Linked DNA regions of Drosophila melanogaster. The protein of the gene in region 1 purifies or fractionates together with the protein of each later gene. This does not show direct contact. Each region holds a gene or a part of one and is shown on either strand. Other genes may lie near its edges.

What was found. Proteins that work in one complex are often made in the same cells at the same time.
Region 2: the proteins of DppIII (region 1) and CG32536 purify together in Drosophila melanogaster (affinity purification with mass spectrometry, with the first as the bait; one large-scale study listed by BioGRID). This does not show direct contact.

The regions. Positions count from the first base shown.
Region 1 is NT_033777.3:8,342,377-8,347,973, reverse strand, and holds DppIII (dipeptidyl aminopeptidase III), read right to left. Parts: upstream 3,575-5,597; 5' UTR 3,491-3,574; intron 3,166-3,490; 5' UTR 3,109-3,165; coding exon 2,951-3,108; intron 2,882-2,950; coding exon 2,575-2,881; intron 2,516-2,574; coding exon 620-2,515; 3' UTR 509-619; downstream 1-508. Other genes in the region: CG7352 (uncharacterized protein), read right to left, coding at 1-210; COX7AL (cytochrome c oxidase subunit 7A-like), read right to left, coding at 3,826-4,119, 4,175-4,201; PNKP (polynucleotide kinase 3'-phosphatase), read left to right, coding at 4,532-5,597. UniProt on the Drosophila melanogaster protein: Degrades neuropeptide proctolin (RYLPT) by cleavage between Tyr and Leu residues.
Region 2 is NC_004354.4:19,274,481-19,278,471, forward strand, and holds CG32536 (uncharacterized protein), read right to left. Parts: upstream 2,419-3,991; 5' UTR 2,345-2,418; coding exon 1,997-2,344; exon of another isoform or gene 1,738-1,996; intron 1,049-1,737; coding exon 920-1,048; intron 860-919; coding exon 677-859; 3' UTR 524-676; downstream 1-523. Other genes in the region: CG32537 (uncharacterized protein), read right to left, coding at 1-348; CG8028 (uncharacterized protein), read right to left, coding at 2,823-3,084, 3,164-3,284, 3,353-3,497.

The sequences.
Region 1 (5,597 bases):
CTCCTCGATGAAGTCGCGGGTTATGGGACTCACTTTGGAAAGCTCCTGGCTGCGGCTCACCTCCTCCAGGTCGTACTGCAATTTTCGGAACAGCTGTGAGCTGAAAAAGTCGTGCTCCTTGCGCAATGAATGAGGCACCTGGAATAGCGGCTGTCCGATGTTGATAGTGCCACCTTCCTTGTGGTTACCACGATTTCTACCGGTTGCCATGGTGGTCAAAACAATGCAAACAGAAATGGAAACGAGAAACAAAATAAAAAAAAAAAAACCAATATTTATCGACTGGCTACTATGAAAACATTCAATGAACAAATTGTAGTATTTGATTTTATATTTACATTCTTAATTGTGGAGCTATTATGAGCAATATACATTTGGTCGCAATATATGTATGTACATACAAGCAATTAAATTCAGGTCCTTTGTCAATATTTTCGGTGAATGGCAAAAACGATCTTAAAATCACCATTCACTACGAAAGTTTTACTATAAAAGCAATTTAAAATTTAAAATTGTTGGTCATTAGATGACTATATATATTTTTATATATTTTTTTTCAAAATCATAGTTAACAAATTGAATTGATAATGAAGGCGAAAATGTTAAATGCGAAATGTTCTCAGTTGTTGAAGGCAGTCGGGAAATACTTCTTGTCCTTCTCCACGATGCTCTCCAGAAGATCGTCGATGTCAGTGTTGGGGTAGCGCTCCACCCATGACTGGATGTACCCCTCGTGGGTGGGCTCGTAGGTCTTCAGCTGGACCTTTTGGTCCTGGCCGATCGCCGTGTTGGCCTGGACGAGAATCATACGCGGCTTCTTGTGCGCCAGGCAGATATCCCGCCACTTGGCCCACGGATGCGATCCGCTCTCGTCGACCTTCGAGTAGTGTTCGTACATCTTGGAAGCTGCCTCGATGTCGGCGGTGGATTTGTACACCTGCAGCTTGGTCAGGAAATCGCCCAGCGCCTTCCTGCCCACGGTATCGATCTTGCTGCGATCCACCGTCAGCAAAAGGTTTTTACCCTTTTCGGTTTCCTCGACCTTAACGAGTCCTTCGCCTGCCTCCAGCAGCACCTTCATGATCACGAAACGAGCGCGAGAGTGCGCCTGGAGCCACAGCTTGGACTTCGGGTTGAACATTTCCAGAGCCACACCCATGCCGTTCCAGATGAGACTCAGCCAGTTGACATAGATGATGTTGTCCTGCTCGGCTTTGTCCTTGAAGCCAAAGATCTCCAGGATGTCACGCTGCAGGGAGAGATACAAGCCCACCGCCTCGGCGCGGCATTCCTCGTACGAGGAACCAATTGCTCCGAACTTGGTGTCGTAAGTTTCTCCAGGAAGATACCACTTGGTGATGGGTTCACCGGTGACCAGGTTCTTAGTGTTCTCCTTGTCAAAGTTGTACACACCATTTTCGTCGATGCGGAATAGCTTGCCACTACCATGGCCTAGGAGTTCATGGAGGCCCACTTGCACCTCAAAAGCCTTCACCTTGTACTCTTTCATCAGAGTTTGATCCTCCTCGGTGAGGAAAGGAATGGGATCCTTGCGGTTGATGTTGGCCAGCACATTGCCCAGCGAGACGTTCTTGAAGCCTTCATCCTGGCGGATTTCGTCGTAATTGGGAATATTGATGCCCGCTGGTACTCCGCTGCCGGCAAATGTGAGGACATCCAGGGATGTGAAGTCTGGCTTCAGGTAAGAGTCCTTCTCGTAAGGCTCCGTCCAGGGCAGGTACTCTATTAGTTTCTCGGCGCGGTTCACCAGCTCGGAGAATTTGGCCGAGCTCTCCTTGTTCACCATGGCCACGAAGCCCTCGAATTCAGCCCGACCTCCAGCAGGATCCCTGTATGTCTCAATGAAACCAATGTAGGTCTCGATGACAGGTCCCTTGTCCTTGATCCACCAACGCGATCCGTTCTTGTGCTCGTCCAGCGAGCCCTGTTCAAAGGATCGGACATAGTGCTCGATCATCTTGGACTCGTTTTCATTGGCTGCGTATTTCTGGGCCTGCAGCAGATGCTGGTTGACGCGCTGAAGCAGCTTCTGGTAATCACCGCGTGTCACCCTAAACTTGTTGCCATTATACTCTTCCAGCGGAAGTGTGATGCCGTCCTGCGTGGACTCCGCCACGGAGCCCAGCTTTACATCGTAGACGGTTTGACCATTTTCAACTATCTTGAAGGTCCGGCACATGTACGGTTCGATACGCTTTGAGGTCAGCCAAGCGTTCACGATCTCGGAGTCCTCCTTGGTGCAGTTATCCGACCAGTAGGTGGTGATTCCGTCGGGAGCAAAGCCCAGGATCTCGTTACGCGACTCGAGCGCATAAATCAGATTCTTGACCTTCTCGAAGATCTTGCCTACGCGCGGCTCATCGCTGTAAGCAGCGGATGCCTTTACTATAGTCTCAAATTGCTTTTCTGAGAGATTGGGAACGATCTTGCTGTCGCCCATACCCTTGTAGTTGCCCGCGTTGGCGAACACACCGCAGGCGTACACTAGGAAGGCCTGAAAGTGATCAAAATTAATATTTATTTTCGAGAATATGAAACTCTCCTCTGCCATACCGTAAAATCATCAGCAGACACTCCCGCCTCCAGGGCTTTCGCCCTAAGAACAGGAATCTTTTCGGCTAGGAAAATGCGGTGCAGCAGGGAGAAGATGAGCGGCGCCTCCGGACTGGACTGGATCAAGGCAATGAGTCCGCCGTCCCAGGAGGCCTGGCTGAAGTGGTGGGCGTAGAGCTTCTCCTTCTCGGTGAGATTCTCGAAGGCACTCTTGCAGTCCAAATCGGCAATGGGCTGCGTGTTAGGCAGGACGAAGTGCGCGGTTTTACTGGCCATCTCAGCGGGTTGGGGAAGGTTGGTGCTGCAGCTGCAAAGATATCATATGGCGAACCGGACCGATTATATACATGGGCTTTAGATAACACCTGGCAAATACCTGTAACGAACGAGGGAGCTACAAAATCCCAAACTTCTGGAGATTGACGGTTGGACTGAGCGAATACTGGGACTGGTCCCGTAATTTAGACGACTACGGAAATGACACAGCCTGTTCAGTTGCTGCCGGGATCTCTGTAGCCCTCTTAGCCAAAACATTACTGGGAATTTTTTGAGAGTATTCTATTTGAAGACTTTACATTACTTGTCGCCCAACTGGAAAATGTGAAAAGGCTACTTTAATTTGGATGAAAAGCCAAATAACTCGGGGAACACATGAAAACTTGATAATGCAATTTTATCTCCAGCAAGCCGGCTAAACTGCAGATGTGGCAGTTAAGCGGCGTTTTACCACAAGAATATAGAAAACAAAACTATGGCTAAAATGGAGCCCGAAAACGTGAAGAACTGGCAGAGCCCAAGGAAAATGTGAATGTTTAAGAACTACGTGGTTAGTCAATCGCAAAACAAACAAAAACCCACCGGGCATTCGTGTTTTAAGTGGAAAAGATAATCAATAAGTAATTTCGTGCGTACTTACCTTTAAAAAGTGAGAAAATATGCAGTTAAGAAATGCCGACAAAAGTGCAAGTTGTTCAAGCAGTGTGACCAGCTGCTTTGTGAGTCGATATAACACCACATATGTGTTATATGATATGTGAATGGCAAAATATTGGCGGCATAATTTAAAAACTCCAATGAACACTTTGAAGTAAAGCACATTATTATTATTATATAATTGATTTTCCGTATTTGAACTACCTATGTACAGAAACGTTACTAGTTAACTAATGTATGTGTCGTTACAATTGGTATTTGCATTCGTGTACAGAGTATTTGTGTTTTGTGGGCTTGCTTGCATGATCTCTGTTGATTTTAGGCAATGATATAGCCAAGCCACAACCATACATCGCCACCTATGCCGAGGAAGCAGAGCACCCAGGTGAGTCTGTATAATATGTTATCCATACTGCCGCCTTTTAGAAAAATCGGCAAATCATTGTCCGCCTGAAATTGCTTCCTCAATTTGACCATTTTTGGAGGAACTTTTCCAGGACGTGTCTTCGGAGCTGCAGCTGCAGCAGCAGCATATTTCAAAGCAGCCGAGTTGCGAAATTCACGAATGGGCTTACAAACTGCACCCACATCACCGACTCCCCGAAGGAAGGGCTGATCGGAAAGAACGAATTAAATTAATGTTTTGTATGGAATGGTGGTAACTTACGCGCAAAGAGAAACAGTTTCTTTGCATTTACGTTTCCTGAAACTTTCTGGAGTATTCGGAACAAAATTTTGTCTGCCTTTAACTATCGAATAATGTTTAAGTGACACTATTACTATAAGCCATCTTTGATGGATTTAAGATTTCTGGAAGGGTTTCACACAGAGCCTAGGCTCCGATTTTTATATGGAGTAATTTATTTTTCAATTTAAATAGGTAAAAACAACCACTTTCATTTCAAAGTACATATGTCTGTGTGCCACTCTTCTTCTTTTAATGCCAAATTAGGTCACACTATTCGCTCTCTAGTGAATTTTGGTGTCAATATTAAGCAATGCTCTTATTTATTGATTAACCAAAATGTCTATGGCTAAATACCTAAACCGATCCGTTGGAAAAGCTGGCAAGGATGTGGCCGCCAGGATATGCACCCTTAAACCCACTGAGCCGGAACACCATTCTATACACCTGACCGCTGGGGAGAATTTCGTGGGACGCAGCCGGGAGACCGGCATCCGAGATTCCAAGTGCTCGAAGCGACAGATTCAACTGCAAGTGGACCTAAAAAAGGCTGTAGTTTCACTTAAAGTCCTGGGAGTTAATCCCTGCGGCGTCAATGGTCTGATGCTTATGCAGAACGGGGAACGCGAGCTGAAGCACGGAGACTTGGTGGAGATCGTTTACGGCAGGCATCAGTTCGAGGTCGTCTTTAACCCTCCACCGGAGTATGACAAGGAGAAAGCTGAGCCGTTGTCCACAACACTATCACCGTCAGAGAAATCCGAGAGGTGGGACTCATCTGGCAATGGTAAGCTGGTTATCTTTACCAGCGTCGGCGTTAAAGGTTCTGAAAAGATAGCTGGCTACGACATGGACGGCACCATTATAAAAACAAAATCGGGACTGGTGTTCCCCAAAAACACCGACGACTGGCAGATCATATTTCCCGAAGTGCCGGAGAAACTAAAGAATCTCCACAAGGATGGGTTTAAAATCTGTCTCTTCACCAACCAAGGAGGCATTGCTCGTGGAAAAATCAACCTAGATGACTTTAAGGTCAAGATCAAGCATATTGTGGCTAAACTGGGAGTTCCAATTCAAGTATTTATAGCCATAGGTGATGGATTTTATCGCAAACCTTTGACGGGAATGTGGCAGCACTTAAAGAGTGAAATGAATGATGGCGTTGAGATTCAGGAAGATCGATGTTTCTTCGTCGGCGATGCAGCCGGAAGACCGGAGACGGGCAAGGGAGCCACCAAGCGGCGCAAAGATCACTCTTTAGTAGACAGACTTTTTGCAGCCAACGTGGGAATTTCATTCTACACTCCAGAGGTTCATTTCCTGGGCAAACAAGTGGAGCAGTGGAATAAGCCGGACTTTGAACCCACTAGCGTTCAGGACCAAGTATCTCTGCTTGATCCGG
Region 2 (3,991 bases), on another chromosome or scaffold:
GAACTGCTCGTAGTTGCGCTCGTAGTTGTCCTCGCCGGAGTAGCCCTCGTGGCTGGTCTCCGCACTAAGGCTGTCCACATCGTCAACGGCCGCCGCCTCTGCATCCGTCTCAACATCCACGTCCACGTCCTCATCCACCTTGGCCTGCGCTTCGTTGGCTGGCAGGATGGGCTGCATCAACTGCGGCAGTTTGACCACCTTCGATTGGTCCACATCCGTGACGGTGAGAGCGTCCAGGCGCTGGAGCAGCTTGCCGGGCGCAAAGGCCTCCCAGTAGTTGACGCTTCGGTCGTAGCTGTCCGCCAGGGAGACGGCCAAGCCGAGTAGCAGCAGCTCCGGCAACAGCATCGCATAGAAATCTGCGACTTCCGTCGCCTGCCGTCGCTTTTATGGACTCGACACTCGGCCTGACTCGACTGCACGCCACTTCACTTCACTGCAGATGGAAGCGGGTCCAATGGAGCGCGTCCAAACCGCAGAGCCATCAGGAAGTGTGGCCCAACTGATCCGCGAGGAGGGAAGTGCGAGTGAAAGGCAAGATTTATTTCGTGTAGCCAATCAACTAAATCGAACAAAAGAAAGGGGAAACAGAATGCAGGTGGTCGGTTGTGGAATGGTCAGAGTGGGTGAGGCTGGTGAGGTTGGTGAGGTTGGCTAGGGGCTGGTGCAGCTACAACTACGCCGCTCGCTGTCCGGCGGTCAGTCGCTGAGCGCCCACAGTGGGCGGGGCCGGGCGGACGGGCGGCTGTCGCTGATGGCGCAACTCACGACGCTTCTCACGCAGAATGTGCTTGGTCTGGGAGGTGTCCAGCTCCTCCCAGCCGCCGGCATTATCATCCACCCAGTCCTCGAGATCGGCCTGCCGAGTAAGAAACATTAGTTCGTTTCATGCATTCCATTCGGGCTATAACTGGCTCACATTTACGCTAATTGGCACCAAGTCCTGGGCCTGCAGTCTTGAAAAGTCACTTTGTTGGCTGGTCGCCGCACTCGTGGATGGATCCTCCAGGTAGAACTTCATCTGCGGCTTGATGGTGGGCGTCAGCTCCTAAAAGAAGGTTACATTTTAGCCAAATCGTTGAGGATATGAAACACAGATATTATAAATACTTATATATTCTATATATAGTCATATAAAGAATATATGCATTGTGATTCACAATTTTTTTATTTGCTTGTTTTTACTTTTGTAGGTATTAACTAACTTATTTAGCTGGATGGTTCTTCATGTTTTTTATTTTTTACTTAAATCAATGCCTGTTGCGTAGAAATAATATGGAGTTTTTGTTCATAAAACAGATACCTCAATATGAACAATTAGCAAACTAAAAACGGCTGTTCATTAACAAATATTATTCAGCGTTGTAAGCACTCACTTTTTAGTTTACTATGCAAGTTTTCTATATTTTATAGCTTTAAAAATCATAGGATAAATATTTTGACATTTGCATTTGTCAAATCTGCAAGTATCTATTAACAAATAATGCGTTTAAGTACACTCTTTAAGTATTCCTGGTTCAAATGTTGTGGACTCATAAAATCATATTTTTGAAATTTCTAAAAAACTATTGAAATATTAACAAATTATCACAGTAATAAGCTAAATATTCATATTTTTTAAGTAAACCTTTTAAATATTCCACAAATATTTAGTTAAACACAACTAGAAATTAAGCGTAATTTGAAATAAATGGTTGTGAATAGTTTCGAAAATGATTTCTTTCTAGATTTTTATACCTGTCGTTTTCTATGGCTGCTAATCTTTATGACGTGATTATGGCCCACATACAAACTTGTGCAGTTGATAGGGTATAGGGTAAACACGCCGAAGTCACCTAGATACGTGTACAGGTGGGGATGTCGCCATTTAGCCCCAACATAGCCCACTATCCCACCATCAGCGAGCGTGAATATCCCTACAATTGGGCTACGACTATGGGCCGTGCAAGCGGCGCAATCTGCGTAATCCGCGCCCATTGCCTGAGTACCAACTCACACTGAAGAAGTCCGGTTCGGGTTCCTCCTTGGGCGGAGTGGGTGGCTGGGCCATTCGCTGGCGGTACTGCTCGATGTGCTCCTCCACGGTGCGCGGACTGTCGTCCCAGGAGTTCCAGTCCCGCTCGCGCGCCCCCGCTGTCCTGCCACCGCCGGCCTGGCCAGCGGAGGTGGCGCCGGTGGCGGAGAAGTCGCCTCGCTCCACGATCACGTTGACCGCTTGCAGTTGGTCGGCGGATCCGGTGGCGGAGCCGCTGTGGCTGAGCTTGCGGCGCCTGGAGAAGCAGCACAAGGCACGCCGGCACAGCGTGATGATGCCCAGCACCAGCATCTTGATTTGCTGCAGCATTGTCACCTGGTTAACTATCCTATTCTATATTATTTACTAAATTTCAGTTTCTTGGACCCCGTTAGTGTGACCGCCACGTGGACAGCGGCGAATACCAAATGGTTGTACTAAGCTACCGACTTCTCTATTTGTAAATACCGAAAACTGTGACATTACCGTTAAGTATTAAACAGTTTAACTGTGATTTTTGAATTTATGTTTTTTCCTTTTTTGAAAAATACTGTATCACATTCATTTTTCCAAGCTATTATATTAAATATTAAATATATATGTTTCATTATCAAATTTCCATTTTAAGAACAAGCTGTTTTTTTCTTTATCGCAAATGATACTTTTGACAATTTAATTTCCCATCTAAAAACATGTTTTGGTTTTATTTGCTTAATACTTCTCGTAATTGTACCTAAATTACCTCAATAATTCACGATATGTTTTGTTAAAAAAAAAGGAAGGGGGGGGGGGGGTGGTAGAGTTTTTTTTATTGGACCATTGCACTACGTCCCTGGTTATCAACATCCTCGTGATCAACGTTGTTGCGTTCGATTTTGTTACGCCTCCGAAACTTGACGATCAGCACTTCGAGGACCCAAGGAGCGGCGCACAGGATCATGAAGCCGTTTAGGATGTGAAAGACGAAAATGTAATCCCTGGTCTTGTCCCGAATAAACCCAACAATGGGACCGATGAGGAACATGGCATTGCCTTGGATGAACATGAAAAGGCCATAGCCAGTGGCGAACCTTAAACGAGATGGAAATATATGAGGAATATATATTATAATTTTGTGATAAATGCTATAAGCTTGCCAAAAGAACCCACCTTTCCTTGGGCAAGTAGTCGGCAAAGACCAGAGGCAGTGGAACGTGGAGCCAGGTGCGCAGAAATCCAATGACCGCCGTGATGCAGGCCATGCCCACAAACTGTGTGATTCCGTTGAAGGCTGTGGGAAAATGAGTGAGATTAGTGGGAGGAAGGGAGTTCTTGGAGCCCAAGGAAGGGTTCGCCTACCGAATCTCGCAAAGACGGTGAAAACGGCTCCGGCCAAATAAATGTATCTCGAAGGAACCTGGATGCACACGGCGGTGATGGCCAGGAAAATACGAGATGCCAAGTCTGCGGCCGCTCCAATGGCGATAATGGTGGCCGTGTCGGGCTGAAAAAAAACAATATTATTTATGGGATGTAGAAGTTACTGAAAGAACTGGAAATAACCTGGTAATCGCAATAATCAGACTGGGAAAACCACTTAGAAATCGTTTATATATTCTTACGGTAAGCTTATGTTATTTTTATGTTTTTCTTTTACAAGGTTTTTAATTTTTTTTTTTTAATCTGTAAAATACTGTTTCCGATTAGCCGTTTTTTAACGGCGAAAGCGGACAAAGTGAATTCGAATAATTCAAAATGGCGTCGCGTTCGTTTCTGCCTTTTTTTGTGAACGTTTTTTATTCTTTTAAGTTGCTTCTAAATCTCATATAACTTAATTTTTGTTATCGATTTCAGATTTATCAGTTGCTTATATGATCGCTCAAAGTGTTAAGTTTGGTGTGCGTTAAAAGTTAGTAATTATTATTGAAACTGCGTTTTCGCAAGTAAATTTTGGCATTTTGTGATACCTAAAAGAAATCTATTTGTATATAATTCACA